Linked DNA regions of Daphnia pulex. The protein of the gene in region 1 interacts with the protein of each later gene in a biochemical or structural test. Links are inferred from orthologs where the notes say so. Each region holds a gene or a part of one and is shown in the gene's direction. Other genes may lie near its edges.

The links. The genes of interacting proteins can lie anywhere in the genome.
Region 2: the proteins of transmembrane emp24 domain-containing protein bai-like (region 1) and coatomer subunit zeta-1-like form a complex in vitro, tested with the Homo sapiens proteins (2 studies listed by BioGRID, with this or other methods). The link is inferred for Daphnia pulex from reciprocal best matches to the Homo sapiens genes TMED10 and COPZ1.

The regions. Positions count from the first base shown.
Region 1 is NC_060020.1:5,852,675-5,855,693, reverse strand, and holds transmembrane emp24 domain-containing protein bai-like, read left to right. Parts: upstream 1-1,281; 5' UTR 1,282-1,409; coding exon 1,410-1,586; intron 1,587-1,677; coding exon 1,678-1,798; intron 1,799-1,853; coding exon 1,854-1,924; intron 1,925-1,987; coding exon 1,988-2,114; intron 2,115-2,178; coding exon 2,179-2,300; 3' UTR 2,301-2,374; downstream 2,375-3,019. Other genes in the region: uncharacterized protein LOC124192751, read left to right, coding at 1-189, 258-768, 834-979; exocyst complex component 2-like, read right to left, coding at 2,964-3,019. UniProt on the Homo sapiens protein: Cargo receptor involved in protein vesicular trafficking and quality control in the endoplasmic reticulum (ER) and Golgi.
Region 2 is NC_060024.1:1,294,616-1,298,100, reverse strand, and holds coatomer subunit zeta-1-like, read left to right. Parts: upstream 1-1,413; 5' UTR 1,414-1,603; coding exon 1,604-1,795; intron 1,796-1,884; coding exon 1,885-2,130; intron 2,131-2,195; coding exon 2,196-2,329; intron 2,330-2,404; coding exon 2,405-2,495; intron 2,496-2,694; coding exon 2,695-2,742; 3' UTR 2,743-2,851; downstream 2,852-3,485. UniProt on the Homo sapiens protein: The coatomer is a cytosolic protein complex that binds to dilysine motifs and reversibly associates with Golgi non-clathrin-coated vesicles, which further mediate biosynthetic protein transport from the ER, via the Golgi up to the trans Golgi network.

The DNA.
Region 1 (3,019 bases):
TACGCTAATTATCATGCCTTGAGTATTGCAAAGATGCGTAGACTCGTGAAAAGCGATGGGCCATCTAATTTTCCTTCGCCGTATGAAATTTTCCGGAAGGATCCTAATTACATAAGTCCAGCAACTGTTTATCGTACTATAGTATTGCCGAACTACATAAAGGTCTTGCGCCATTTTCGTCAGGAAGAGGTAAGTTTTATTAAGTAACAGAAATGCACAAAGTTTCGTTTCTGGTGTTAATAAAAATTATAATTAAGGTTGCGGATTGGCTTGAGGGACTGTTGCCTGAACTGGATAAAATATGGAATTGGGAATCATTTTTAGAGAGTGGCGCTTTGACTTGTCTTTTACACGGCGATTCATGGAATAACAATCTTCTCTTTCGTTATCTCGACGAAACTAGCGAAAAACCGGAAGAAATGTTGCTTATAGACTGGCAAATTGCGCGTTGCGGACATCCCTCTCATGATCTTGGATACTTCATTTTTTCCAGTACATCATCGTCGTTCCGAAAACAACATTTAGATAATCTGCTTGACGAATATTATGCTGCCCTTTCCAGTGCTCTAGTCAAACTAGACATTGACCTGGAAAGTGAAGGTTATAGTCAGAAACAATTCATTCAAGAAACCAAGCAACGCTATATTCTGATGATGATGATTGCCCTCTTCATTTTACCCATCCTACTCGACTCCTCCAAAGCAATAGATCATACCTTAAAAAACGATGAAAATCTTCATAAAGATCTCATTAAGGAATTGGAAAAAGGTTTGTTTTGTACTTATAATTATAGTCATTAATCAATACGTAATTAATAATTTTAATTGATTTAGATCAAGCAAAAGAGTTGGATGAAGAAGGAACCAAAAGCGGTTGGCAAAGTCTGTTTGAATTTGATACAGTAATTGGAAATCCACTTCTCAGCCAAAGAATAGTGGAATTAATAACGGACGTAAAGGATATGGCTTGGAAAGAATAAGACTGAGTAAGTAGTCCGTGCGATTCCTCAACTAGACGATTCGTTTTAAAATAAAACGCAGTTGTGTATTCTAATGTGATTGTTATCCAATTATTCAGTGAAATACAATAGAATTTATCAATCGTTCGTTTCGTTATTTCTAATCATGTAATATGTGTATGTGCAGCCCATCTCTGGTGCGCCCAGACAGCCTCACTCTAAAATACATAAAATTGCCTTGTTTAAAAAAGCGCGCGTAAAATGTTTACATTTGGCAACGGTGAATTTATTTTTTTTCAGGTGTCAGCAAAGTTGCCAAGTCATCATAAAAGTCTTACCGGTCATTTTCAGAGCTGACGTGTCTTTCGAGCTTTCCGTGTTGTTTTCCTTCTGCTGTAGCATCGGGGTTACTGTTAAATAGATCTGTTTTATTGTTTTTCTCGTGTTTGCGATGGATCTACGGGCTATAATTTTGTTTTCCTTTTTGCTCTTCTCAACTGTCCAAGGACTTATGTTTGAACTACAGCCAAATGGCAGAAAATGCTTAAGAGAAGAAGTGCAAAAGGATGTTCTTGTCACGGGGGAGTACGAAGTTTCTGAGGTTCCTGGCCAGAGAACCGATGTGAAAGTAAGTTAAAATTTAAAAAGAAAGCAAGAAATGGGAAAGAAACTAATTTTTAATTTGTATGTTATTTTTTTGTTCTAAAAAAAAACAACAGGTAACAGATATCAAAGGTCACACCTTAGTAAGCCACGAGGACAAAAGCAAAGGGAAATTTGCATTTACAACTGATGACTATGAAGTTTATGAAATTTGCTTTGTGTCAAAAGTCCCGCCAAGTAAGCATTCATCTTTTAAATATATTTTTGCCATAAATGACATTTCTTCTTATAGATCTTAGAGGACAGAAGCATGAGGTTGAAGTAACTGTCAAAATGGGTCTTGAAGCTAAAAACTATGAAACAGTAAGTTTTTGGAAATATTGCAAGAAAAACTAATTAATAGAATTGGTTGTAATGTATTTTTAGTTGGGGGAAGCTGCAAGATTAAAACCACTTGAAGTTGAATTGAAAAGGTTAGAAGACTTGTCAGAAGCCATTGTTCAAGATTTTGCCTACATGAGACAACGAGAGGAAGAGATGAGAGATACAAATGGTAAGACTTTTTGTTTGAATCTCCCACAAGTGTATAAGTAACACCTTTTTTATTTCATTCATAGAATCAACCAATTCCAGAGTATTGTATTTCAGTGTTTTCAGTATGTTATGTTTGATTGCCTTGGCTACATGGCAGGTGTTATATCTGCGTCGCTTTTTCAAAGCCAAAAAGTTGATTGAATAAAGCTATTTCAGTGAATATTTGACAATAAAAATACCAGCGAAACCGAACAGGAAGTCCATCGCTGTTCGAACAAATGAAATCGTCCTGATGTCAGTGGTTGTGTTAAAATGGAATACTTGCTCCAGTTTTTTGGTTTTTTGTTTGTGTGTTAATCAATGCCAATCTTTGATCATTTCTAACTCTTCCGTCTTTGGACGGTCTACTACTTGAGTTATTATGCATAATGCACGTGTGCTGGATATGAAGTAAAACATCTGGGTTGGTATTTTTTCTTTTTTTTTTCTTCTGTTTGGAAAACAAAATTCTCCAGTAATATTGTCTTGTCTTATTTTATTACATTAGAATTGGCATTAATGCGCACTATCTAAGATTTCTTAAGAGGTAAAGATTTTTAGAAATGAAAAGATTTGCCCTTTCTCTTTTGAAGAATTGCGATTCAAGATGTAAATATACTACCAATAGAGTTAAATTGCCCCGTTCGCACATACGTATAACAAGGTGTTTTTTCCTGAAGGAAATCATTCCTTGTATCCAATCTTAAAGGCGTAAGGACGCGAAGAAAATGTTGTGCAAAAAGTCTCATTTCGTTTTGAATTTGTATTGTAGATATGTATTACACTTGAATTAAAATCAAAATAAAGGGAAAACAGGCTTTTAAACACGTTAGTTTATATCAAGGCAAAATAACTGGAACTTCATCCGCTTTTCGAAATTGACGA
Region 2 (3,485 bases), on another chromosome or scaffold:
GTCCAATGCTATAAGGCGAGTAGTCAGTTTCTTGAGAGTTTTCTCTGCAACAGGCGTGCTGTCCCATGCAAAGGCAAAAACACGGAACTCTGGAGGAAGCGACATGAGTATCTTTGCCATTATTTGATTATCATCAATAGCTATGTTGAGGCTCTTCAGACGGAATGCTATCTGTTCCAACTCAGTCAGGAAGCTTGATACACTTTGGCTTGGTCGAAATGTGCATCCATAGAACTTTGTCCACAATAGAGGTGCATTGTCTGCGGCATCTTCTTCATACTCAGTCTCCAATTTCATCCACATCTCTTGGGCTGTGCTACAAGACATCAGGATCCTTGATTGGTCTTCTTTGATGGCGCCAAATATGTTCTGCATTGCCGTGGTATTTCTCTTGTTCCAGTTGGTTATATCAGCTGCATTTTCAATCACCTGGTCAGCATTGCGTCTCTGATTGTGGTAACAAAACGAGAAGATGGTTAGGTTTGTGATATCCATGGCAGCCTCACATTATCTCAATGTGGAATCTCCCTCACATCATCTCGATGTGGAATACCTCTCACATTATCTCAATGTGGAATCTCCCTCACATCATCTCGATGTGGAATACCTCTCACATTATCTCAATGTGGAATCTCCCTCACATCATCTCGATGTGGAAAAACACTCAGCTGTCTCCTAGATGCTTGCAACTCTAGCACACACTTGTCCACCATCATATGATGGAATTTAGCCAGAGTGACCAAACAGATTGAGAAAGAAACACAAAAAAAGAGAAATGTCCAGCAAACACAAACACACAAAAAACAAAATCAAGTGGCAGAGATTAAGCACTCACGCCGGGATCTAAGTTTGTCAATTTAATAGTTGGTACCACGCCACAGATAGGCATCTCATATCGCGTTGTTGTCAGGCACGGATCACACACATAAAGAAAACAATAAATCATCAATAAACTTACTTCAGCAGGTTGCCGTTGAGTCCCGTTCACGACTTCCCAAAGCTCAACACTTTGTAACGCCAGCTTCATTCCAAATTTCCAAGACGCGTAGTTTTTCCCATTCAGACACCATACAACATGGCGGCGGCCATCTTTCTCCATCACTCCAGAAAAGAATTTCTAATTTCTTGGGAACAGTTAGCCGGGGACACACACAAAAAAAATAATTGTTCAGACAGAGTAGCTGTTAGCTGTGCGTACAGCTGGGCCCATAACCTGTTGATATAGAAATTAACACGTGAACCTGTTTGCTGCAAAGAACGCTTTGTATTGCTACTCGCCTAGCCACAATCGTCAACAGCACTGAGTCCCCCTCTCTTATTCCTTTGTCTGGGTAGGTCCTTCTCCCCCTCTCTTCTTTCCTGGCTATCCTGCGTTGCCGCACTGTCCAGTTTGTTTATCTTTTATACTCAACAAGCAGTTCCTAGATGGCGCTAACGACTGGCCCTTTTGCTTTTTCCCGTATCTTTTAAAACAAAAATAGATTTATCTCGTTAATGGTTTGTGATCAGTATAGGAAATTTATAAAATTTATAAGTTAATTTTTTTAATGGTTAATATAATTTTCTTACCGACATAAGAATCGTACTCTAGTTGAAGTACTCCATGGCGATACTACGCGAAAGAAACTGCCAACGTAGCATACAGGACTACCGGTTGTCAAGTAAGAACAACTCATCAACATCTCGAACGGAACATTTTCATTCACCCGTCTGTACAACGGTTCATCTTATTTCTCTTAGCTCTTGTGTTGTGGTGTATTGCATATTGTATAAAGAAATGGATAACCATGTCCTGGTAATATAGCTACTTCTAGTACTACATTTTCTTTAATCAGCTGTGTCAGACCAACAACAAAATGATACATTTTTATAAAATTTCTTTAGGAACCTTCTCTGTATGTAATTAAAGGAATTGCAATCCTTGACAATGATGGTAAACGTATTCTTGCAAAGTACTATGACCCAAACACATTACCCACTGCAAAAGAACAGAAGGTTTTTGAAAAAAACCTATTCAACAAAACACACCGAGCTAACACGGAAATCATTATGCTAGAAAACATGACTTGTGTCTACAAAAGCAATGTGGATCTTTATTTTTATGTCATGGGAAGTAGCCATGAAAATGAGGTAAAAGATGCTCACAAGTTGTTCACAAAATATTAGTAAATTGGAATTTTTTTCCCCTTATTTAGTTGATCTTGGTTAGTGTTTTAAACTGCTTGTATGATTCCATCAGCCAAATACTTAGAAAGAATGTGGAAAAGCGTTCTCTAATGGAAAATCTTGATGTGGTTATGCTTGCTTTGGATGAAATATGTGATTCTGGGTATGGTTTCCATTCAAACATGTAATCATGACAAGTTTATCAAGATACTATTACCAGTTTACTATTGTGTTGCAGGATTATTCTGGAATCAGATCCCACTGCTATATCATACAGAGTAGCTCTTCGGAATGATGACATTCCAATTGGGGAGCAGACAGTGGCCCAGGTATGTTTGATAACTTAACTACTTAATCAGATATTTAAATAAGGTTTTTTTCAATTTAATTAAATTTAAAATTGAAATTAGTTTGAAATTTTCATTTTCCAGCAGCTACTTCTAAACTAAACAATATACATTTTAAAAATTACTATAATTAAGGGAGAAGATCAATAAATTCTTTAATTATTTCCGTCTGATTTTTTAGGTGCTTCAATCGGCAAAGGAGCAGCTAAAATGGTCTCTTCTGAAATAAGGATCTAAACTATTTCAACCACAATAAATTCCGGTCGTTGAATCATCCTTATCATTATTTTTCTCCTTTTCCAAGTTGTTCTATAAAAAAAATACAAATCTGTTCTGTTGATGCCATCTTTATCAAAATAGCAGATAAATAATTAAAATCAATCCACCGTATTAGAAATTAAATTTTTTGTAACTTGTAACACGCATTATATAACCTGATGGTGTGCTTGGTATTTTACAGCGATCTTTAAAAGATTGTTTTCATTCATCAAAGAATAGTTTGCCTTTTTCTGACATTTACTTCGGGTTTACAAACGAATGAAAGCACAAAAGAAATTTGTTTCTATCACAACAGAGATGTGAATTTCCAATATTTTTCAGGTTGCACTGTAATTTAGGTGAAATGTTCTTGGTTTTAATTCGGATAGAACGTTATTCTCTTACAGTACAGCTTAAGTACAGCATTACACCAACTAAAGTTTGCCAGTTCATTTCGAAGTTATTGATAACGTCAATCTTTCGTCGATTAAAAGGTAAAAAAAAAAAAAAAAAAAAAAACGTTTCACTCGTCGTGTCTTTATAACGATATTGAATTCCAGGCTTGGACAGAGCGCATCAGTTTTTCGCTCCGTTGATCTATCAGCGATAAGCGGTGATTTAATCGACCCAATTGAAAAGGATCGGTAACGAATCGTTGTGTTTTTTTTTTTTTGTTTTTTTTTGGTCGAGTTCCAGAATTTTCTACCAACAACT